Linked DNA regions of Drosophila melanogaster. The protein of the gene in region 2 interacts with the protein of the main gene of each other region in a pairwise test. Each region holds a gene or a part of one and is shown on either strand. Other genes may lie near its edges.

Region 1 (7,545 bases), on a different chromosome or scaffold from region 2:
GCTGGAAGCATACGTCGAATCTATTGCATTAATAACATAAACGCTATATTTGTTTACCTCGACTACAATATACACGTTACTTTACTCCCTGCCAAAAAAAAATAAGGTAATCTAGCAGCGGCTATACATATAATCTCATAACTTTTTAATTAATGGTAAATGTGTTAACCCATTGTGACATTTAGATGAATATTCATGACCAGAAATAAATGTTTCCGCTTTTACTTCACCATATTTTAGTGCCTGAGAAATTTATACCTTATGGCCGAAATACTAGCTACAGTGGCTATTGACTAGATAAAAAACTCTCAAAGCTTTTACGGACAAACGAAAATTTTGGGATGGAATCGGCTAATGGTTCTAATTTAGAATAGATTAACTATTTATGTTCGGGAAACCTAGCCTTTACGTGTTACGTGTATTACTAAGGTAGAGGGACGGCGAACAAGAAGCATTAACAATTTTGTGGCAAGAAAAATAATAAAATGACAAAAATCTCAATGCTCCAGCTTTTATCGTTAAAAAATAAAAAAATAAAAATAACTCCCGACGTCTTTATTCTAAATTGATTTCAAAATTTGGAAGTAGTATTTAGATATAGTAAATAGCCTTGTATATTCCGCTAGATTATTAAAACAAAGGAACGATTTGCTAAACAACTTTTTGTCACGCCCACTCTAACGCCCTAAAGCCGCCGAACCGCCGAACACTTTAGAAAATATTTTTAAGTTTTTCTCATTTTATTCTCCAATATCTATCGAAAAATTATAAAATTTCGCGTTCGCATTCACACTAGCTGAGTAACGGGTACCTGATGGGGGATAGGTAGGGGAACTCGACTATAGCATTCTTTCTTTTTTTTACATTACTGACAAATGCCTTACAAAAGATTTACAAAGATCTGTGGAGCCCGACAGATGAGAGAGTAAATGAATTGAGTTTTTGTTAGGTGGTTCGAAACGTAGAACCTATTCTGACCAACAAGTGTCACAGGAATAGCCTTCGCCCACCTTAAACGAAATTAGTTGATAATTTCGTCGTGAATTCGTTGAAGAGAAGTATTTCCTATCATTAGCTTGACATCAGATCCCTGTGCATCGTGGATTTGCTGTAAACTGACAGACGGAGACATGGCGATGGTGATTGCACTACAGGCTACATTATCGGACACCCTGCGAAATGTATCCAAGATGACGAACTTGCCTATAATATTTTCCCCTCTATTCACGAATAGAGAGCGATTCTCGATCGTTTATGCAGTAGTTTTCTCAATGTCAAATACTTTTTTAACGAAAAAAATGATGCCATCTGGCCACATGACACATCACATAAGTTCTGCTTTAGGAATAAGATGAATTTCATACTAACATTCTGAAAGTAATAATTAAAGACGTGCAGAAAGGAAGAGGCACCTAGATAATAGTTAATGATGACGTGTATAATTTTTAGTGTTTTTACTCGCTGATTGTGACGTTTAATTCCCCGTGCACAGCAATAACAAAAGACTATGCTATAGTGGAGTTCCCCGACTATCAGGAACCCAGATATCAGAATACAATTAGAATGAAATAGGCGGTTTATGGGGGTTAGAGTGGGCATAGCAAAAAGTTTTGTTTATCAAATTTACAACACCAGCGAAAATATGAAAAAAGATCAAAACATTTTTCAAAAGCACGGGCGTGACAGGTTTGGTAAGTTTGTAGGTGTGGCAAAATGGGTCAACAAACTTGCGCTGCTTCTATGTCTCTAGAATCTGTATGCTTAACCTCAACCTTTTAGCTTTTATAGCTCAAGGACTGCTAGGTTCGGAAAAATCGAATTTCTTTTAATTTGAAATCTGGTATCGTTTGCCACGTCCAATTTTTGAAATCAGAATTTTCGAAAAAGATATAAAATCAAGAAGTTGAGGTTTTTTTTTTAAATCGCAATACCATTGTTTGTTCACGTTTGACCACCTTTTAGAATTTGAAAAAATGTATAATTTAGAAAATATATGACATAAAGCGTTTGACCATCGCTTACAACTAAATATTATCAATTAAAAACGTTTGCAAAACCATTATTATTATTTTCTTATCGTTTGCACACCCTTAAAACAAAAAAACTAAAAAGAAGTGTAAACTGCGGTTTTAGTAACTGATAATATTTTTTCACCAGATCGAAGGTGCTCTAAAAAATCGCGGTCGGTCATATGCAGCGGTTTGCACTGCCACTGACCACGAAAAATGCCCTCTTTGAACAAGAATTCGACTTTATTCGTTTAAAACATCACCAGATAGATATTGCGAGCCATTATAGTTAAGGCCATCTTTTGGTTTCATTTAGCGCAGTGCTGTACATCGTCGATTGCTTGTCTTTTGTAATGGTACAGTGGTGTTCACAAACTCTTGTGATTCTGTATATGGCTATGGATTTTGTATATAAAGAGCCTGAGTCGATGAGAACTTCGGACTTCTAAAAGTTTTGGGTTTGGTTGGGTTTAATCGGCCAACGCAGAAGTCAACAGCAGGCGTGTGATTTTCGTTGCCAAAATGGTCTCCTTGCTGATCTCAGGGACTTATGAGAATTCGGATCAAGGCTGTGCACAGGACAACTGCGAGGACGACTATTTTACTACATCCGGCGACGCCTTTTTTCGCTTCCAGAGAAGACACTATCATCGAGGTGCTTGCTGCTGAACCACGGATAAGTATTAGGGTTCTGGAAAAAGAGAGACCCCAAGATGCGATGCTTGCCGGACATCAATTGTTGTCACGTTGTTAGCTTCACTTTAATGTGTATAAGTATGTGAATTTGTGAAAGATTTTCATTTAGCAAAAGTAATGATTATTTAAAAGAGTTTTGGCTCGCGAACCGGTTCACCATTATAGGGCACTGTAACTACACGGTTCATGTAACATACTATATATCACCGTACTGTCTAGAAAAAAATCATGCTTGCGTAAGAGTGGGCGTGGCCAGAATGTTTAAGTCATTACGATTAAAAAATTAAGGTTTCATACCATCTATTTTAATTATATCGCAATGCAAAGATAAATGAAACATGTCCCAAAAATGAATTAAAAATTATGGCGGTTTATTTTTATGAAATAAAAGTTTACCCGCTTAATATTCTCTTTAATTTGCGAATACATCAACTTCTTGCTAAACTCTTTTGTATGTATACAATATACTTTTTTTGCCAAGAGTTGAGGAGTATAAAAAACATTTACCGATGAAACGCTTTTGCCGCATTGTCGTTGTTATGGTTATGCCCTTTGGCTTACCAGCATTTGACCCGGAACCTGCAGCAGCGTTTAAAGCGTGAGACAGACCAAGGAATACGCGGGACGAGAAATGTGCATTGACTTTGTTGTTAGAAACCGCGCACTTTGCAGTGCATTTATTCCGTCGTCGGTGTTGAATGAAACAAAAGTGTCGCTATTATTTAACGACAACAGCTCCTTGGACTTCAGACTCTTTGGGGTCTCTTAAGAAATGTTGAGAAAAGTGACATGGCTTAACACATCGGGGGTCTATTCAAAGGACAGATTTATAAATTCCATTTAACCGTTTCTTTAATTTGTATATCGCCTATTTTTATTAAACAATAAAACAGTATTTATAATTCAATTGGCTTTTAAAGGGAGAGAATAATTTTAACATTCGATTAGCCAACAGTAGATGAATAGCCTGAATCCAACGTATAATCCTAGAAAATTCTTGGACTCATTTATTTTGAAAACTTCCGCACAACCTTTAAATGTCATCTCATGGGAATGGTTAAACCATACTTCGATCAAGGCATTACAATAGAAATGTCTACTTCTTCCTTTGGAGACTTAACAGAAAATTTCACTTTCTTTGTTAGCGCTAAATAGGGGTTTGAGGATCTTAGCGATGCAACCTGCACCTGGTCTTGTGTAATATTTATTACGCTTTCTATTAAATAAAGCATACTTTTGTGAGCAATTGTTTGCCTTTTCTGTGCGGTCCACCCGCTAAGTTACAACAACGTATACTGCAGTTGACAAGTGTATGGGGAATTTTGTAAATGAAGTAAACTTATCCCAAGCCCGAATGACTACCGATTGTTGAAAAGAAATAAAATTAGTTTTCTATGCTTTCTTTTATTTTTCAATGGTTTGCTTGTGTAAGCTTTTCATAATTAGTCGGCTTTATTTTATAAGGTAAGTTTACTTTGTCAAAATTGTTGAACTCAACCCAACAACGCATTTCAGCCAGCTTAATTGTACTGACAACTTACATGTACTTGGATGTAATTAATCCACGATGTTTTTAAATATTTAAGTCACTTTTCAACAACTCTCACAATTCACGCTGCATTTCATTTTTGCTAAATATATATCGATCCTTGGCTATCCTTTTTCGTTTTCGAATTCTAAGCAATAGTATTTTTTAAAAACTTCCGCACAATTCGAATCAAATATCTCGGGAGCGCACAACGATTACCGGAAACGCGGAAGCGCTGGTGATGACGGCCACTTGTGGAATGGCTGAATGAACGAAGCGGTGCCATCGGCCGACCCGAGTCCAGACAAAAGACGAATCACAAGCCTGGCCGATGGGAGTCGAGTCGAGCAACAAGTCCACCCAGCAGAGGGGGCTGGAGCTTCCGCCCGCACGAGAGCCTGAGTCGAAACAGACTGGCGAATGGAGAGCAACTGAAAATACTCAAAAACGGAGTGGATTTCTGAGTCAGAGTGTTTTTTTTCGTATTTTCCAAAGTATTGAGGTGGCACCGCTGAAATTAGAGGATTATGTTATCTGGGGTCCTTTAATTAATGCCTGCATATTGACATTGCAGTCCGTACCCACGATAACTCCTTAATATAAATACTAAGTAACTGTTTGAATAAATTTTTTTTATATGAAAATGTTTACGAATGTATCTAATGCGAGTTCCGTTCGACACATTAAAGTGTAATGGTATTTCCTGCACTATTTTTAAAGTTTCATAGCCAAATGACTGCAAAACCAAGAAAGTGTTTGTTTTCGAACCCAAAATTAAATAAACTCAACTCGAAACTCAAATGCGAAATATTAAGTATTTATCAAACCAAAACTCCGTTGGCAGGGCATGACGTTCCTCTACTCACTCCGACATTATATCAATAAGTACTAGGTCCCATGAAAAACGAACGTAAAAACGTAAAACGAATATACCCTTCCCGGCACGTTGTCCCAGGCTAGCTCACACATACACAGATGCAGTTCCAACGCCACCACATATTTGCCCAACGGGGTGGATTGTGGCTCGGAGTTCCTAGACATGGACACCACGTGCTCAGGCTCAACTCCAGAGGGGGGTATTGAGCCATAGGGCAGGGGCACCCACAAGGGACTATGGGAAATTTTACCACTTTTTCTGACCAAAATGAATAACTCCAGAACGGAGTAAGATATTTGGTTTTTCTTTTCTTACATTGACTTATACTAGACCATATCTATGAGACTTCCAAAACTGTGGGCGTGGCACCACGCCTTATATTTAATTAACTAATTTTCGTAAAGGGAATTCTCCTTTATATAAAATAATACTAACAAAAACAAAAGAGAATGCTATAGTCGAGTTCTCCGACTATCAGATTGGGGAATAAATCATTTTTGGGGAATAAAATGAGAAAAAATTTCCAAAGTGTGGGTTTAACCGGTTCGGCGGCTTTAGGGCGTTAGAGTGAGCGTGGCAAAAATGTTTTTGTCAAATCGATAGGAATTTACAAGAATAATACAATTTTGAAAACATTTCAACATTTCACAAAATGCGGCCGTTTAGGCGGTTTTAGGGCGTTAGAGTGGGCGTGGAAAAATGGGTCAACAAACTTGTGTCTGTCTCTAGAATCTGTCTGCTGCATCTCAACCTTCTAGCTTTTATAGTTCCTGAAATCTCGCCGTTCATACGGACGGACAGGGCCAGATCTTCATACGGATAGTCGGACAGACGGACATGATAAGATCGACTCGGTTATTGATCCTGATCAAGAACATATACTTTATATAGTCTTAATCGCTTCCTTCTGACAGTTACATACTTTTCAACGAATTTATTTACTCTACGAGTAACGGGTATAATAATAAAACAAATCAGCAACAAATCAGCAACCGCCTTGTTGAACTCCTTTTTAGCATAAAAAACTTAACAAGAATACAAAGCTACAACATGAGGTACATTTCATTGATGGACTTTTTAAGTTAAGTCTTTATCAAACAAATGCTTTTGTAAGGAAATTTATATTTTACTCAATTTTGGGTACAACACGATTTTTTTTTATTTTGACAGTCACATAAACTTAATACACTTAAATCAGCTGCTTCATTACAACTTTTGTAACGGAGGAAAAACTTAACGTAAATGTTTTTGTAGACGCAACAGATGTTTTTAACAGCATATTTCTTTGTTGTTGCTCCATATATATTTATTTCTAAACATTGGTCAATTATGAATAGACTTATTAAATATTGCATTAATCGACCGACTTTCAGAAAATGGCTTTTAGCCAGAAAAAGTGGGTAAATTTCCCATAGTGCAAGGGTCTAAGTGAGAGGCGGATGACTAGCCTGATTAGTACATGTGACGCATGTTGCTTGCGACGGCCTGCATTCGACTGCGGCTGACTTTCCACTTGGCTGTCGCCAGCTCCTTTGTTACCAACTCCGATTGACTGAGTGAGTTGTATACTGTTATTATTATTATCGTCTGTTTGTCCACGCTCTTGTTGCTGTTGGTTATCACAGTGCTTATGCCCTTATCGGGAGGGCTTTATCTCATGATAAACTATTGTCGGCAGATAATGAAATGTTGCTAGGAAAGCTATTTTGCTTATTCGAATGTTGCGAGCTTCCCTCCACGAATATGTGCGTATGCGGTTTTTTATATGACTAATATTTCTTTTGTTTGATTTGGATCAAAGGGATTTCAATAATTGCTGCAATATTGCATGGATAAAACTTTCATGTATAGAACACTAAGAAAAAAAAATATGTTAAGTTCACTGCTGGAATTGTAATTGTTTATTCCAAGTCAAAGTTGGAATTTGCCTTATATTAAATAAATAATTGTTGAGGTGGATAATATAATGGTGTAATGTATGAATTTAAAAATATGTTGCATGTAAAAGGAGCGTTACCCCGACCCGGGAAATTAAGTTCTCAGTTTTCTTCGAAATGATAGGAAAGACCTTTCTGAGTTGAGGGAACATTATAACTGATGCTTTTGGATTTAATACTTGCTTTAAAACTGAATTAAAATGAAGCATCGCTGCATTATTTGTTTAATATTAGTCAGCCAAGGAAAAAGTTTATTTACTGAAAATAAGTCCCTCTTCCCTTTTTATTTGCTTTTATCACTAATTCCCCTTCAGCCAAGTATTTCCAAATACAAATTGACAGTTAATATTTTTAAACTGGCAACTCAGTTGCAAGGGATGGGAACAAGAAATAGAGGTAGTACGAGCAGCATGTTGTCGACATTATGTAAATCACCCGTCGGCAGCGTAAGCAATTGCGCGCCCCACCTCTTTCAGCGAAAGCATGGAAACAATAAAC
Region 2 (7,549 bases):
ACGGCATTTGGCAGCCGCCGTGGCGGTTCCTTCTGCTTTCTTTTTATTAAAGAAATAATAAAATATTCATAAAGATTGCGCTACGATAACCACGCATGTATTTTAGAGTAAACGACCATTAAATATGTTTGTGGCCAGGGCCTAACAATCAATGGCGATCCCAGCTTTATTAGCCCCGTCTGAGTTATTGGCCTTGTTCAAAATGGGTTCTCTGTTTGGGCGCTCAATCAATTCCCGGCCAAGCTGTGCGCCACACAATCATGTTAAGAATTCAATATCAAAGCGCGAGCGCAGCTGCCGCTGATGACATCGTGGAATGTCCACGATTTCATCAACCCCCCGCCTTTCTTACCAAGCCATTGATGAACAGGCTCGCAGCGAGTAGAGGGGGTGGTGATGGTTGAAGCTTGGGTCTGATTCGCAAGCATCGCATTTTGATTACAAATATGAAACATGCTCACTCAAATATGACCTGCCCCCTCCCTCGGTTACCACAAACCCGGCTTCCTCAATGGCGTGTGTATGGAGTGCACTTAATGGCGTTCCGCATTTCTCGCAAGGAGGGGTGAAAGTCAAGTTAATATTGAGCCAACTTGACTCAATTTTGACTGAGTGGGCCGAGACACTGACAAAAAGCTAGAAGAACCTATTTTCTACGTTAGGTCATCTACAAATAATATAAAAAGATGAAAGGTTTTCCAGATAAATATGATTTAATTTAAACATATTAATATAGCTAATGCCATACAAGAGTCATACTTTTTATTGCACAACTAAATATACAATACAATCTTAATTTTATATCACATCCTTGTGAAAAAAGGAATATTATGAAAATTTAATTATTTAAACATTTTCGCGTCAATTGATTAAAAATTACATATAACACTTTATAAGCACAATAGTTAGTGTAAAATCCCAAATAAGAAGACTTTACTCGTTGAGTTTTTGTAAGAAACTGATTTTATTTGGAAATATCTTCGGTTTAAATAGGTGACATGAGAATCGCATCTTAAAGTAAATGGCCTACGCAGAGGCCTAAGTAAATAGTCCCCGCCTTATCGAGGTCCCACGCTCGGGCACATCTGCCTATCTTGAGCGGCGAGGACCTTATCTGTGGTCTCCCACTAAGGGACTATTTTAGGAGGCGGGGAAAGATCTCAAGTGACTGACTCATGTAGTGTGCACTTAAATTACATGTTTTTGAGCAATGCACCCATGTCGCCTTAGATAACAAAATCCTAAATATAATTTATCGCTCTCGATTCATTTACATAAGATATGAACGGAGCCCAAAATTGTAAGTCTTTAAATATATTCGTGTTCATGTGTGAACAGTTAGTCTGAATATTTCTTTTTCGTATTTATTTTTATGTTTCAAACTAATCTTTGTATTGAATAACGTAACGTGATGAGCTAATCGATATTTATTTAACTTTTTCATGCGAACACAAATAATTTTTATTTGTGCAGCAAAACATTCGCTGAGAAGGCAAGACTCGGGAAAATTGCACATAGACAAGATCTTAGGCCATTAGCTTTAATTGCAAAAGTTTTGGGCCAAAAGCAAGTGCAATTCCAATGGCAACAGCAGTGGCAGCTGAAACTGCAACAAATTGCGTGGCTATCAATATTTCCGTGGCTGCATTTGATTTCCTAATGCATCTGCAGCCATTCATGTCCCGAAGTTGACAGGCTGGGATGCCTCCCATCATACCATGCATCCACCTCCGAACCGTCGCCCCTGTCAACGATTAACAATATCCGGTTGTGTACCCCGGCAGTAGCTATCCGCTGGCCCGATTGCGAGCTTGGTTTTAATTAGTCCTGCCCGTACGTATTTTCTATTGGCCAATTCACCGCAGAAGCTTCATTACCGGTCTACCGTGTGTGTCTCTTTCGCTTTGTGCGTGTGTGCTTCTGCAGGACAGATTGCGAGTCATTAAGTTGATGCAGCAGTAGCAGCAGCAGCAGGAGGAGGAGCAGGAGCAGGAGCAGCATCCGTGTAAGCCACACAAACAGGCAGTTAGAATGCCACATGCCACGCCCACAGCAGCGGTCGAGCCATGTCGAGGGGCTGGGCAGCTGTAACTGAATCGAAATCAGCATCAGCACCAACACCAACACCAGCATCGAAATCCATAGCCAAGCCCGGATCAGAGCAGAAAACGAAACAGAAACATGTCGAGAGTTAACCTTTGTTGGCGGTTTGCTGCTTTTTGTGCGCCGGAAACGGCAGAGCAACTCAATCAGTTTTTGCGGTTTATGGTGGCCCGGCCAAAAGGGACACGCTAATGGCTCACAAATGGCACTTGAATAATTGAATGCCGGAAACGGAGGAGAAAGAAAGCTCGCGGTATTAGCCAGCAATGCCTGCGCTTGGCATTGTCCGCTTTATACACGTAATCCACATGTAAACAAATTGCACAATTCAACTACAAATTAACTACGGATGTTACTAACTAATCTTAGGGTCTAAAGCGAAGCATCCTTCTTGTCCCTATCGCCCGAAGTCATCTTATCCGGGTCCGATTGCGGTTTCTCTTTGCCTTGTTGCAGCTCCTCACTATTCTGGCTGCCGCTCAGTTTCTTCCTTTCACTTGTAATTAGCTGCTGCAGCTCTTGGTCCCAGCCCAAGGCTTTGGCCAGAGCCATTACGCCAGCATCACAGTCGCCCAGAAAGGCCACATCCCTAGTGTTATTGGGCTTATCGAAGAGTAGCGATCGCGTGTTGGGATCCATAAAGAGCACACAGCTGGCCTGACCCACTGCATCGCGATTGATCAAGAGGCGAATGCAACGTGGTCCTGGTCTCCACACCAGTGAAGCAAACGGTTGCACTTCCAACGATGTGCCCATGATGATCAGCAGATCGCAATCCTGGAAATCCTCTTCAGGACTGGAGTAAAATCTCTTTGGCAAGTTTTCGCCAAAGAAAACAATGTCTGGTTTAACAACGCCTTGGCACTTTTGGCATTTGGGCAGACGATCGGCGAAGATCTCCGCCTTCATCCAGTCCATGTCGTACTCCTTGCGGCACTTAATGCAGTGGTTGGTGTGGAAGCTGCCATGGGCCTCAATGATCTTGTCCTCGGGCAGGCCAGTAAGCCGGTCTAGCGTGTCTATGTTCTGGGTGTAGTGGCGCTGCAGTAGTCCCTTGTCGTTAAGCAAACGGATAAAGTAGTGGGCCGGCGTGGGAATGAAGGATCCAGGGTAAAGTTCCTTGGCCAGTGCAAAAAACGGCGCTGGATTCTTTTCGAAGTAGTCCAGATCGAATATGGCCGTAGGATGTGGCAGCTCGTACTTCTTCAGATTGCTGTATAACCCGGAACCTGGGGATCTGAAATCCGGAATGCCAGCAGCTAGGAATGGCGATAACTTAGTAAGTTTTTACAATGGTATATAGAATGTACCAACATGTAGATATGCCGGCTCCCACCATGGTCACAATCTTGCGGAAACCATGCACACGCCAATGTTCGGCAAAGCCGTCAAAACTCAAATCTGGAATAACCTGCAAATTTGCGATTTAATCAATATGATAATCAAATTATCGGGTGCTCCGCTCACCTTCTCTACTTTAACTTCCTCCTTTGCGTCCGAGGAGCCGCCGAGATGTAGAGTGTTTGCAAAGAAGCGTCGAACCTTATCCATTGTGTCGTCTAGAATTCAATTCAATTAATGAGTGACAGTAAAGACCTAACTATTTAGACTAGCCTGGGGCCTCCTCGTCGTCGTCACTGGACGAGGAATTGGAGGGCGTCGTCGGTTGTTCCTCCTTCTTTACTTCGATGTCGCCCATGGTAAACAGATTCACCTTCCGGTGAAAGTATGTAAATCTGAGGATAGTGTGATGAATTCTCCCAATTGTTTATGTTGCGTTTTGTTTTAACGTAAAAAGCAAAACAAGTTCTGACAACTATCGATAGGTTTAGGCTAACGAATAAGTTATCTCTAACAGCTATTAAAAAGCTAGAATTTTAATTTCATTGCTTATTGATTTAGATTTTAAAATCAAATTTGTGCGAGCAAACCAAAATATTATAATTACTTTAAGTAGCCTATCAATGAAAGATTTTTATTTAACAGCGATTTATTAAGGGTCGCAAATAAATATGTGTTTGTAACGGTTAGAACATATTATGACTCATTAAACAAAAAGGAACCGAATAATAGAATAACTAAAGCTAAGAAGGGCGCAAAGTTACAAAATCGAGTATAGATAAAATAACAATTACACTTTGTTGATATCTGAATATAAACTAATTGAAAGGTTAAAATCAGCTGAATTGTCAGCACGGAGTGTCCAAATAATCGATAGCTGTTATCGACCCACCCAGTGTTAGGCTCTCTAGCGCCACCAGCCCTGGCCGGCCGATAGTCGATTACTCGATGTTCGGCGGGGGTGCAGCTCTGCCCGTTCGCTCAGCCCTGGAAAACCACGCCAGTCATTTTTGTTTTGATAAGGATACGGATACAAAAAGAGCGTGGCCTGGAAAAACTGCAGAAACGGCGGAGAAAGCGCCCCAAAAGCGAGCGAAAACGGTGGAAACTGATCGTGGGGAAGTGCGCGACAAAGTGGCCGCGGATTCAGGCCCTCCCAATCGCTACGTGGAAGCGTAAGCAGCGTGTTGAAGAAGAGAAGAAGAAGAAGCAGCAGCAGCGCAGCAAAAGTACACAGAAGTGCAAACCAGACGACTGAAATAACAAATCAAAAAAGGCCCCAAAAGGAGCGGCGCAGTGGAAGCAACTGCGGGGGCGGGGAATGGCCGAGGGTCGTCGGTGGCCGCCATTGTGTAACGCCGCCGATGGGCAGACTGTAGATCCACGCTAGGATCATATCTCTCGAATATCATGCATCTGAACCATGCGACAGCCGCCACGGCAGCCATGGCCAACTATCAGCACTACCAACTGCCAGCCTCCCATGGCGGTGGCGGCGGAGGAGGAGGTGGCGGTGGCGGTGGAGGAGGGAGTAATGGTGGATCTGGACCGGGTCCCAACTCGGGACAGCAGCAGCCCACCACACTGGCCAGCCTGCAACAGAGTCCCTTTGCGCTGCATCAACTCACCGCCGTGCAGGCCATCCAGCACCCTACCCACCAAGCCATGCTCCATCCACAGCACCCGCTGGTCCATTTGCTGGACATATCCACTACAACAGCGAACAGTGGCGGAGGAGGCGGGGGCAGCCACACGCCCATTTCTCCTATGAAACAGGAGGTGCAGAGCGTGATTAGCGAGGAGGAGGTGGTGGTGGACGATCCGCGCAAGAAGAAACAGTGCCACGTGTGCAAGAACAAGTTCCGGCAGCTGACCACGTTACGCAACCACATGAAGATCCACACGGACGAGCGGCCCTACAAGTGCAAACACTGCGACAAGGCCTTCCGCCAGATCTCGACGCTAACCAACCACGTGAAAATCCACACCGGAGAAAAGCCGTTCACCTGCAACATCTGCGCCAAGGACTTTCGCCAGCAGAGCACCTTGATCAATCACATCAAGACGCACAAGGGTGAGTGTGTGGTCGCATCGTCCCAATAGACCTTATGACCTAACTCTATTTCTCGCTTCGCTTACGGGCAACAGCGGCGGAGTCCAGCACGCCAACTTCCCTGTTGAACTATCAGCCGCAGACGGGCAGTGGCAAACACCGAAAGTCCCAGATGCACCAGGCCTACCAGCAGCAGCATCAGCGCGTCCAAATCTCAAAGACCTTGTATTCCGGCAGCTACAGCTCGCCGGCGGCCGAGGAGCTGGTGAAGCCGTTCCAGTGTAGCGTTTGCAAGCGCCGCTTCCCGCAGCTGAGCACGCTGCACAACCACGAGCGGACCCACATCGATCCTAAGCCGTACAAGTGCGAAACGTGTGACAAGTCCTTTAGCCAGCTGGCGACGCTGGCCAACCACAAGAAGATCCACACGGGCGACAAGCCGTACACGTGTTCCTACTGCCACATGCAGTTCCGCCAGCAGAGCACCCTTACCAACCACCTCAAGACGCACACGCATCAGATAGCGCCTGGAGGCGTCGGTGGAGCAGGAGGCGGCGGAGGCGCCGTCACAGCCACAGGTGAGCCGCTTGTGTGTTCGCCCTACCAATGAGCCGCTTTCTGTTATCCATGTGTGCATTGATTATTAACGCTCTTCCCTAACGAAGCTTTTATTTAAATCTTGTACGCATGCTAACTTCAACAAATCATCCAACAATCCAACTCCGTACCGTCAATCTGCAGTGGATCACTCAATGCCCGCTCCTCTGGCGCCCGGGACGCAGCAGCTGACCAGTGGCCTGTTGCCGAACAACCTGCACGGTAGCACGGCGAACATCATCCAGCTGGACCACCATCCGCTACTGCATTTCCTCGACGGCAGCACCACGGTCAGCTCGGTAGTGGCCACGGCGGCGGCCAACACCAAGGTGGAGCATTTCCAGGCGGGCGGCTCGCCGTCGGGCCGGATGACCGTAGTGGGCACCATCAACATGCTGAAGGGCGACAATCCGGACCGGCCGTTTGGCTGCAGCGTCTGCCAGCGGTTCTTCTCACAGCAGAGCACCTTGGTAAATCACATCAAGACGCACACCGGAGAGAAGCCCTACAAGTGCAAGATCTGTGAGGTCAACTTCCGGCAGGTGGCCACGCTGAACAACCACATGAAGATCCACACCGGTGAAAAGCCCTACAACTGTTCCTTTTGTCCTAAACAGTTCCGGCAAAAAAGCACACTGCAAAACCACCTGCGGGTGCACACCTGCTAGACCCACTTCAGATCCAGATCGCAACGCGATCCAGGTCCGCAGCCAGCCAGCCAGCCAGTCAAGCAGCCATTGAGGAATAGTGCAATATGCATGCCACATAGCACATACACTTATAGATCGCATATACGGCATACGAATACGATTACATGAATACTATATTTGAATATATACTCGAAAGTGTTATTTACCTGCTGTGCAGAGCGCAATTGTATGTAACTATATCGTAGAGAGCTGATCCACATGCGTGTCCAATTGTAAATTAAGGCTAGCCGTGTTGGCATAAGCCACAGATGATATGATACAGGGTGTTTAGGCCTAAACTCTATACTATCCCATGATGGTTCGATTTGAGTCGGTGTGTTAAAGGTATCTTAAGGCACTTTAAAGCCATTTAGTCTAAAACGTTTTATTATCTTTTAATACCCATCAATTTCTCGCTTTTCAAAGCTTTGTAAATGAATCATCGGCGTCTTTTTAAGTTTGGTTGCTGTTTTCGAATGGCAAGGAAAATGACTACAATAAATTTAGATGTGACCTACTTTGCACAATAACCTTTTATGCCTGTATATGCATAATTGTTGTCTTTTATATTTCCTTTACAAGGAACATCTTACTAAAAAAAAAAATATTGATATTGTTTAAAACTGATACAATTCAAGTTATATTATTTGTTTTAAGGTAAAATGGTCAAAGAGTTATTAGGATTTCTTTAGCACCGAAGCTTCTTGAGGAATCAAATCGATCCATACTACAGCTATCCTCCTATGCAACTGTTGTCACCCATGCC
Region 3 (10,417 bases), on a different chromosome or scaffold from region 2:
GATCGCGGAGCTGAACAGGAAAGGCGGCGCGAATCGCATGCGTAGATGCTGCCTAGAGATTGGAGATTGCAGACTGCACTTGCGTGCCAGTCGGGCAAAAAAGAGGCTAGCCGAGAAAAACCAGTGCCAAGTGACGAATGTCCGTGTTATGCGATCTAATGATCTAGAAATGAAGTTAATAAATCGTTTAGCCAGATGGCACAGCTCTTTTCCAGATCGCAAACAAGGCTGCTTCTGTGGATTTTCAGGAACGAGACAGTATGGAATGTCAGAGATGTCCGATTTTATGGATACTATAGATACTATATATTTTGGATGCACAAATTGATTTACTGAAACCAATTTACAAGGTATTATACCTTTAAATTCTACACTCTTACTTTGATTTTCATTATATTTCTTTTGACTTTCTAAACTGGGTGATCCAGACCAATAATGCTGCTCCGCCTTGAGCGTTGGCTAGTAAAAGTCCAAGTTGCCATTTCTGGCCCCACTCGCCTCGTTTGGGAGCAGCAAGTGATCGACCACCGGGCCGACAGACAATTTGCATAACTACCGTGCTTATGCCGCAAACATAACAAATTACAACGATTTTGCGTATGTACATACCGGGCGGATGGATGGAAAGCGAGGCGTTTAGCAAATATCTGCCTATCTGTCCCATAACGGGACTCTCCGTGCCGGGAAAATGAAGAGCAGTGCAAACAAGGCCGAGATGTAATGGCCAAGACACATGGTAATGGCCATAATCAGGCCGCAACAAGACAGGCGAACTTCAAATGGAATTATGCAAAGCGTGTCGTCGTCTCCGCCAGAACCACACAACAAAATCACCTCGCATTCTTGGCTTTGTTTTCAGTTACTTTTATTTAAGTTAAAAATTGCTTATGATTAGGGGTTTATATTTAGGTTGTGCAATTTGTCGAGTTTGCACTGACTTATATGCTAGTTTAAATATGCGGCAGTCGATTAGTGGTTGATCGGTGATTTAATGTGCAGTTAGTATAGATGTACGATCTGCAAAGGAAATTGTGAATTAGTTTCAATTCAAAGCGCACTGTTTGTTTAATCACTTACCTAGTGTATAATTTAGTTAGAATTAAGCGCCACAACATACCCCAACGTAAGAAGATCTGCAAGTGAAGAAAGGAAATTAGTTATGATTTAACCACGATTAAAATGCTAAACACAGTGAAATATAGCTATAAGCTCAGTTACTAAATTACAATCAAATCATTTCATTAGTCTAACATATGTAAAATAACATCATAGAGCTTATTTAAATTGAAGTGGTTTAAATATATATTACGTACCTTGAAAGTGTTCCTAATGTAATGGTCTAATGGTCATTGGAATTTTCCGATTAAACTGCAAAGAAAGCATCAATTTACTAATCGATCCAGTAATTATCATAAATAAGTATTGAAATTTTTAATTTTAAAAACATTCTCAGTTACTAATTTACAATCAAATCATTTCATTAGTCTAACATATGTAAAATAACATCATTGTTTAACTCAACGAAAATGTGGCTTAATCGTTACAATTTCTTACCTTTAAAACGTTTTAGGTGCAGCGTTTGTTGGTTTTGCCCACGAAAACTGCAATAGAAAGAGAAATACAAAATTAATAACATTTCTTTGCTTTTCAATCAATAAACGCTTGAATTTGTTATCAGAAAAACATAACTTTACACTAATCAAGGCATTTCATAGGTGTCCCAAGGTAAAACTCGAAAATCATCATTGAAAACAACTATAAATAGAAACCAACTTACCTAGTTAAAAAAGAAAAGTTTCCATGATATTGAAGTGTTCCTTTGCTGGCATCTGCAAAATATAAACAATTGTTAGCTTTCTGTTCAATAATCATAAAAGACTAAATTCAGCAAAGTATTTATCAGATATTGACGTTTACGCTAATCAAGGCATTTCATAGGTGTCCCAAGGTAAAATAGCTATGTCATCACAAAAACCTATGTCCCATAGGCATATCGATTCCAACTCACCTTAGAAGGCGTATCGCGTGCGAATATCCTCCAGTTTCTTGCAGATCTGATTGGGAGTGCGGAACATGTCGCCAGCTATGCTCTTCTGCTTGGCTGCCTCAATGGACAGATACTGCTCGCAGAGATCGCCGTCGAGTACGTTTTTGACCGGATAATACGAGCTCCTGTAGCTGAGATGGTCGCGTCCACAGAGTGGAGGATTCTCATTGCGCATGTGCATCTCCAGATGTTGGAAGAAGTCGTAGTCCTCGCGACTGGTGAACGGAACAAATGCTCCAACAGTGCCACTTAGCGTGGCGTATATAAGGGCTTCCGATCCTCCAGGAATTAGCGTTGCCTTCTGCAGCGACATGATTATCTCGCCCACATGGAAGGAGCAAATGTTCTCCGACTTCTGTGAAGCACCTGACAGCAGGCCACGATCCCACAGAGACTTGGTGCCCGTTGGATCCTCGTCCACATCGTCCGTTACGGAGTGGGGCAATCGCTGAATGCTCAGGTTGCCAAACTTATCGGCTATGGCTATGGTATCATAGTCCAGCAAGGTGGTGGCCGTCACCCATCGAGGATGCGTGTCATCGGCAAATATAATCAGCTGGTTCTCCGCGCGACGATAGCGTATGAAAAATACTGATTCCTGAACATCCGACACGTAAACACGATGACCCATGGCTTGGATATTGACAATCTGATAGGGAATGTGCTTGTTCTCGCATTTGCGCAGCATTTTCTTCTTGCCGAAATCGTAGATTCGCAACATTCGACCGCAGCCAGCTAGTAGACGACCCTGGAAGCCACACAGGGCTCCAGGAATCTCGTCAATGTCCGTGCGGTGCATGAATTCCAGACTGGAGCAAGTGGGATCTATTTTGTAGATATCTATGCAGCCGCCTTGCGAAATCCTGGGATTCAGCTGCAGATCCTTGGCGATTCCCACGGCCAGGTAGTACCGGCCATCAGCCGCTATGGAGAACTTCAGCATGGCCATCGACATAATGGCCTCGTTTTGGGTGAGCGGCACACTAAACATCGTCTGACCATGCATTGCGTCCAGGCAACGGATTTGCGAGGCCCAAAGACCCAGTCCTGCTTTGGGCGACGAAAACACGTCCTCGGGAAGGACTTCGTTGATGAAAGCATTGGCCATTTCGCGGGCCAACTCCCTTTCCTCATCGCCAGCTGCACTGCGCATCTCCTCCGCCATTTGCTCCTTTCGGGCACTCTTCGTATCCTCTGTGTAGGCGTTGTGATCGGTTTCGGCAATTAGCATGCGTCCCGTATCCGGATGGATTACAAAGGTACGTGGAGTGTACTGCAAGGGGAACGCTACTTGATTGAAGACGGCTCCCAGTTTCTCCAGGGCCAAGATCCTCAAGGTGTTGGTGGATATAGCCACGATACCTTCGCTGCACTGCTCGCTCGAGAAGCCAGAAGCATACTCAAGGGTTTCATAAGACAGAGGCGTCAAATGGAATCGATTTTGGTGGTAGTACGACAGCCAGGTTCGACTGGACATGGCCAGCACCGCTTCGGATCCCTGCATCTTGATCCGGAAGAGCTTTACGGGTCGGGAACCCAAATATCTCGTTCGGGTGTCTGCCAAATCTCCGGAAACAGGATCGAGCACAGTTCTCAGCAGGACACCGTTGCTCAAGCCAATGTTTAGGTAAATGGTTCCCTTATTGTTGCCACTGCGCTGAGCGGGAGCATCGTCATCCAAACCTCCCTGAGTCGTGCTCTCCGTGTGACCCATTTCGACCAGGCAAAGGGATTCGGCTGGCGAAGGCAGGGCCTGCATGGAGCAGGGAGTGAGACAGTTGTTGGGATCCAGCGATAAGATGCGCACTGTATTATCCGCCAGGCCGACGGCCAAGAACCAGGATCTCTGCTCGCCCTCCGGAACAGTTCCCAAGGCCATGCACATAATCTCAGCAGGCATCTCGGAACGTTCCGTGTACTCGTTCAGCTCCCCAGTCTGCAAGCATAAAATGTATTCATTAGTTGTGAAGTTAAGTAAACGAGGATAAGGCTTTTGGTTGATTTTGAAGCTCAGCACTGCAGGACACATAGTGTCTCAACATGATTGTTCTTTTCGTGTTTTTGTCATCAGAGCAAGAAGTCAACAGTTGAGTGTAATATAGTAGTAGAATTGCTTACCGGATCCATTTCGAAGTAGACCAACTCCCTGCCCGACAAGGTGATGACCACCTGGCGCTGATTCACGGCGCACTTGGTAATGGACTTCTTGCCCGGAGCCTTCCACTCGTTCACACGCTTGTCGGATCGGATATGTCGAATGCCATCGGGGTAAACCTGAACCAGCGCATCATCGCCCAGGGCGGCACAACAGAGCGTGGGCGTGGTGCCCAGGAAACCGCTGTCCGTGACTTCCTCGACGGTTTCGCCAATGCTCAAAACCAGGGTGGCATTCACGAAGGACACGATGATATAGGCATCAAACTCGTCTAAAAAATAGGGGAGCAAAACAATACTTGGAACGTGAGTACTTCAGTTTGAATCGAGCAAGCGAAAAAGATCTGCGTATCACACAAGACATTGAATAATCAGTTTATCAAGTTGTAATCAATGGATAATTCAGCTGAAACACGGTTGATAAATATCGCATCATGTTCAATGTCCGACTGGCTTAAATATAGTTAGCTTTTGTTCTGTTTTCATTGGTATAGTAGCAGTGGTAGTTGTAGTATCTGTTTGACTTATGAGCTGCAGTAAATGTTGCCTTACCTATCGCTTCACAAAAGACAATTTAAAATTACACAAACGAGAGAAATTCTCTTTAATCGCTTGTCTTTTTCGATAGTTCACACATATTGCCGTCTGTGTTTAAGCGCCTGAAATAAGAGAGAACTGGTGGTTGATAACTTGTGGGACTTGTTTGGAATCGTGCGTAAAGCTAGGTGTAATCTATATCTCGATCTGTATCAATGCACCAGTTGAGTTATTAGCCACGTTTCAGTCTTAGTCTAATCTTAGCTTAGGAATCATGATTAATGCCCGCAGACACACTCACCATCAGCTCGTTTCTTCACAGTCCAAACCGCATTGGGATTACCAGGCAGTTCGGAAACGGCCATCTCGGACACCTCGAGGCCGTGGCGCAGCACCCGCAGAGTGGAACGCGGTCCTCGTCCGCAAAGAACGTACAGTTGCGGTGTGTCCTCGTTGGCCAGATCAGCCACCTGGGAGGTGATGATCGGTGCGAAAGAGGGCAGTTCATCCACAAGCACCAGGTTCTTTAGGGCACGTGGCGCAAAGAAGAAGGTTTCACCCTCCTCCAAAGGCATGGCCGAACTGAACTCCGGCTCGTCATCGTCGTCACCCAGATGAGCGATTTGATATAGATAGCTGAGGGTTACACAAATACCTCAATTAGTACCCATTCATATTATTCTCAAATGAATGATTTGTAGATACTCACTGGTTGCCAAACTCGCTGGCCACGAACAGGAAACCCGTCTTTAGCACGCACATGGCAGTTGCCGGCGGCACTGTATCGAAGTACTTTAGCTTGATCTCGGAGACCACATCATCGTCCGTTTCCAGGGTGATCTTAAAGATGTCTCCCTGCTCGGTCTGCAGCAGGAAGAAGTACATGCTCTTGGTGCGATGTGTGGCCGAGCAGATGAAGATCATACCACGTTCGGGATCATCCAGATCGTTTCTCCTGCGCGGAATGGGACAGCGGATATCGTGCTGATCGCCGAGATTCTTGTACGTTAGGTAGTTCTCCGAGCAGATCAGCACGCCCGAAGGACCATCGTTGCCCCCAGGCACGGATACCAAGAAATTGGCGTGCTCTTCCAAGGGCTCCGAGTATTTGCGAACCACGTGGTTTAAGCCGAGATCCAACTCGTAGAAAGTCAGCGTTTGCTGAGTGCGCTGGGCGGCGTCACCTGGAACAAATAGATGCGACACTGATTAGTTACAGGACTATAGCATTGTACTATCAAAATGTTATCAATTGAGATTAGGAAGTGTGGGTCACAAATCAGTGAAGTGTGGCTAGGCAATTACAGCAACACCAATGGTTCAGTGATCACGATTTATCTGGCACTAAGTACAGTCAGTGTTCGTGGTGTGGATCCACTAAACCTGTGAATTAAAGCGCCTTCTAGGGTCTACACGCCACCTAGTTGATGCTTACCCGATGGATCCATGTCGGCCTCTTCGTAGTCGATCTCTAGGCAGGCGAACATGGGATTATCGAAGCCCACATCCACGCCGACCATGTGGTATGTCAGTGTATTCGATTTGTGGGCCTCCAGGGGCGATGAGATCGTGAGGCGAGCCTGCGTGTCCCGGTTCATGATGTAGGCCAGCTTTTGCTTCTCCACGGCGCCAATCATCACGGCTCTTCCTTTAGGATCGATGGCAAAGTATTGCCCAGGCACAATCCTGCGACATCCCGACTTTCCGAACGTCTCCTGGTGCACTTTTTCAAGAGCATTCTTGGAGGGATTGTACTCGAGGATCACGATGCGTCCCGAGTCCGAGCCCACAACTATGTAATCTGCAAAGCAAGGTAACGATATTCGAGATTAGGGTCATACATTTAACACTTTCTAATGACTATAATGATATTTTATTGACTTTGTAACTCGAAGTTTCAATTCGCCACTCCGTTGAGTTGGTTTATGGCAAATGCGACGTCAAGTCTTTCGGTTTCTCTCGCACTTAGACGCGTTCAAAGGTCTTACTGGGGTCAACTAGCCGTCTGTTGCCTCAATAGGGATTTGTGCGACTTACATAGATTATATAGGAGCAATACATTACTCCCAATTGATGGTACAAAACTAAATTACAATTGAAAGACTCACCTTTAGTGCCGCCCGTCAGTCGAAAGGCCATCAGGGCGCGAACGCATCCGAATATCTCCGTGGAGAGCAGGGTGTGCACCTTGCCGGTGTTGGAGTCCGGACGCAGTAGCTCCAGCGACTTGCCACGCGACAGGAGGACCTCCTGCTGCTTGCCGCCGGAGAAGTTGCCGTGGACCGCGTGGGTCACGCCGGTGGCCTTCTGCAGGGTCAGGTTGTACAGATACATGGTGGAGCACTACACTCTTTCACTTTTGTCCACGACTGCAAGAGAAGCAATGTTGAGGTTAGGTACAGTTGCAGACAAGGGAAAAAGTCACGTGAATGGCGGTGTATTTTTTTTTTTGTGAATTTGTACTACTTTGAAAACCATGGCCACAGTATGGAAAGTCGTGTCGCCTAACGATGCTAGTAAGCAGCATTTAATTCTTAGTTTAGCACGCTTCAAATGCGACCAAAGCACAGACATTTCTGATTTCTGGAGATACTTCGTGCGGAAAGCGCTTAAATAATAGTAGATATCAGTGCTAGCACGTGTATTTGTTTACCTTCGGCTGGTTAAATGGATGAATTAGCACATTTCACCAGCGATGCCTTTGGATTCGAATTTTCCTGATTACTCAGAACTCTTCATTTTCACATCTGCTCTGTTCGCCGACAAAAAGTAAAAGAACTATAAAAGTAAAAATGGTGGTGCATAAAATGTGGCTTGACTTATCGATAGTGCGCGGCCGTCGATTTTCCTATCGATAATAGGCCCGGTTCAGACTGATTATAAATTAAATAATTATTTTACTGGAAATTGTTGCTGCAGAAATCATAAGTTTCCTAAAAATCCTGGTCAAGATATATCGAATTTATCCTTTATTAAATATACCACATTTAAATATTCGGAAATTGCCATGGGCCAATCCCAGTTCCACATACCAAAAACTGCCTCAAAAGCTAAACATATAATATGCAATTTTCTGTGAAAAAATGGAAAATTTCAAGGATCTGTAAAAATATGTACTGGATCAATCGTTTTATCTTTCTTTAACTTAAAAAATTTTTATCATGGGCTTAAATGAAAACAAAACCACTCACCGAATTGTGGCTAAAGGGCTGGGCTCAATACTATGCTATTAAGGTATGATTAAGGAGAAAACTTTAAAGGTATTTAAAAAAAATAAATAGATCAGTCCCCAACTATTTTTTTCTGTTTATTCGATCTCTACTTGAGTATATTTTTACGCGGCGTTGGCTCATGTTATTAGACTAATTAGAAAAATCATCAATTATTACTTAGTAAACTAGGTTTGTTGACTATCGATATACCAACTTCAGATTCGCGACATCTCTAATCAGTCATGGAATTGTCAGTGTTGTAAAACCTGAAATGTCATTGCATCTTTGCTTCTTCAAAACAGCTGACAGCTAAAAACAAATATTTCGTGATTTTTGTAAATATTGCTAACGTTTTAATATGGAGGAGCAAGAGGATCGAGAAAAGCTCTACGAAGAAGCCCACAAGAAAGTAAAACTGGGCGAGGAGCTGAAGAAAGCGCTGAAAGACTTCGAAGATTTGCCTGGTGTCAGCAAAGTACAGCGAAAAATTCAGCAAGAGCTCAAATTTCTAAATAAGGTTTGTTTGCCTATTTTTCATGATAAAAACATTGAGTAAAAGCATTTTCCTTCAAGGTGATTACTACAAGGTCCGTAAAGGAACACCACATAACCAGCAGTAACTTTGTTTACTACGATTTTCTCATTAAAACTCTGCGTTTGCAACAAGGAGTAGTCGACATCAATGCCGTATTCCGCCTGGAGTCTAGGGATAGTCCCCTGAGAGTCGACATCGTGGCCAACAATGGACTCAAGTGGGTGAAGGTGATAGCCAGGAACTCGAAGTCCGTCGAGGACGCGGCCAGGGGATGTGTCAGCATCGGAGCCCGAAGTGTCATCGACCAGGCGGAGGATTATCTGGAGGCCAGCGAACTTAGTTTCTGCATGTTCCAGAGGCCGAAGGTAATGCCTAATAGTATGCTACCCTAGACAGCATTCATCATCTGATATACTGCCTTTTAGATAGTATTCTACTTCTCCAACAAAATCGAGGACTCCCTGCATGAAGAGCTAATGGAAATGGGCGTACAAACTGCTTCCCTGGACTCACCAGACACCGACTTGGATATGTACGCCACGACGTCGAACGAACTGAATCTAGATGTGACCACATTGCTGGCCTACGTTAGTGCGCTCACCAACGGATCCGCCAATTGGGTCTACAAGGAACCTCTGCTCACCGAACAGGCGGAAAGGGAAAGAGCCTCGCCGCTAAAACCGCTCCTCGAGAAAATCCTAGAGGGAAAAACCTTGGTCTGCTGCCAGTTAGCCTACGATGCCTTCCAGAGTATTTTGGATATTGTAGGCGGCGAGGGCGAACGGAAGCGAGCCGAGGAACTGATGAAACGGGTCACCGTTTATCCGGATGTGGAAACAATACCCGAAGAATTCTCCCACATACGTTTCACTGCCAACGTAAACGAGCGAAGTCTGAAAATCTTTAGTTTCGGCATGGCCAGGCAAATTTTCACTGTGACTTCGAATAAGGCCTTTGTGAGATCAGCTAAGATGCAGGTATGCATGAATGGAAAATGTGATTTTGTCCTGTCTTTAATGTCTGTGCTTTACAGGGTATCAATGTGCCTGTTTTTGTACACGCTTCAGTTGCACTTACCGAAGGTAAGCAGGCAACAGGAAGACCGCTTTAAAAACCAATAAGCGTTAAGGCTATTCAAATAAATTTTATGTGATTTTTTTTCAAAAACTGCTCTACACAAAGTTGTTATAATTATTAAATAAAGATCCTTCAAATTTGAATTCGATTGGTTTTTAAAAATTCGAAACGATACATACGACTCTTATCGATTGTTGTCATGACAGAGCTGCCACACCTCGCGCATAAAACATATGTAAACAAAAGTGAAATTTTGGAAACTGCGTTCTTGCAAAAAAATAGACGACATTTTGCTTGCATAAAACAGGCAATATTGCAATTGGGAATATAATTATTAAAATTTAGGTGCCTGGCAATTTCAACGTTACAAGAGCAATCATATAATTTCAAATCAGGACGGGAAAACAGTCAAAAACATGGACTGCGCACCACTGAACTTGGTAAGAACCCGAAGAAAACATCGAATTTACATGGTTTTAAATGGAATTACCTACCCAAATCAAAGGCTCATTTCCACGAGCGAAGGTCGGAGCGATTTATACGCAATCACCGCTATGAGGAGGCCATTAAAGCGCTGGAAACATCCCTAATCTACATGCAGGATGCCCAAAAACGGGTGGCTCTGCCCAAATCCAAGGAAGTTCTGGACACATTGACCCTCGATTTTCAGCGCAAACTGCGTCAAATTGAGATGCGAAAGACGCAGCATGGTCTGAACAAGCTGAAGGATTATGCTCCCTTGAAGGAAACCAGTCCCATGCTGCCCCTGCGACCAGAAGCCGGAGCAAGTGGAGGCGCAGGAGGATCCGCTCAGTCGGTGGCCAAGGCAATCGACAAAACAGTGCAGGACTTCGA

Evidence for each region. Proteins that work in one complex are often made in the same cells at the same time.
Region 1: the proteins of Sirt2 (region 2) and dimm interact in a two-hybrid assay, tested with the Drosophila melanogaster proteins (one large-scale study listed by BioGRID).
Region 3: the proteins of Sirt2 (region 2) and Sf3b3 interact in a two-hybrid assay, tested with the Drosophila melanogaster proteins (one large-scale study listed by BioGRID).

Annotation. Positions count from the first base shown.
Region 1 is NT_033779.5:21,328,728-21,336,272, reverse strand, and holds the start of dimm (dimmed), read right to left. Parts: upstream 4,518-7,545; 5' UTR 4,247-4,517; intron 1-4,246. UniProt on the Drosophila melanogaster protein: Transcription factor that regulates neurosecretory (NS) cell function and neuroendocrine cell fate. Acts as a master regulator of common NS functions such as Phm expression and neuropeptide production.
Region 2 is NT_033777.3:20,324,842-20,332,390, reverse strand, and holds Sirt2 (sirtuin 2), read right to left. Parts: upstream 3,927-7,549; 5' UTR 3,803-3,926; coding exon 3,718-3,802; intron 3,663-3,717; coding exon 3,571-3,662; intron 3,515-3,570; coding exon 3,418-3,514; intron 3,363-3,417; coding exon 2,476-3,362; 3' UTR 1,476-2,475; downstream 1-1,475. Other genes in the region: CG4360 (uncharacterized protein), read left to right, coding at 4,855-5,518, 5,593-6,075, 6,239-6,762.
Region 3 is NT_037436.4:825,869-836,285, forward strand, and holds Sf3b3 (splicing factor 3b subunit 3), read right to left. Parts: upstream 7,518-10,417; 5' UTR 7,392-7,517; intron 7,342-7,391; exon of another isoform or gene 7,194-7,341; intron 7,108-7,193; 5' UTR 7,073-7,107; coding exon 6,847-7,072; intron 6,772-6,846; exon of another isoform or gene 6,619-6,771; intron 6,540-6,618; coding exon 6,174-6,539; intron 6,141-6,173; exon of another isoform or gene 6,002-6,140; intron 5,923-6,001; coding exon 5,448-5,922; intron 5,375-5,447; coding exon 5,040-5,374; intron 4,861-5,039; coding exon of another isoform or gene 4,853-4,860; exon of another isoform or gene 4,754-4,852; intron 4,644-4,753; exon of another isoform or gene 4,569-4,643; intron 4,474-4,568; coding exon 4,166-4,473; intron 4,125-4,165; exon of another isoform or gene 3,984-4,124; coding exon 2,010-3,983; 3' UTR 2,009-2,009; intron 1,976-2,008; exon of another isoform or gene 1,896-1,975; intron 1,830-1,895; 3' UTR 1,778-1,829; intron 1,753-1,777; exon of another isoform or gene 1,669-1,752; intron 1,602-1,668; 3' UTR 1,555-1,601; intron 1,516-1,554; exon of another isoform or gene 1,444-1,515; intron 1,369-1,443; 3' UTR 1,314-1,368; and 7 more. Other genes in the region: CG42553 (uncharacterized protein), read left to right, coding at 8,309-8,467, 8,524-8,850, 8,911-9,462, 9,519-9,596; CG42554 (uncharacterized protein), read left to right, coding at 9,979-10,002, 10,068-10,417. UniProt on the Drosophila melanogaster protein: Involved in pre-mRNA splicing as a component of the splicing factor SF3B complex, a constituent of the spliceosome. SF3B complex is required for 'A' complex assembly formed by the stable binding of U2 snRNP to the branchpoint sequence (BPS) in pre-mRNA.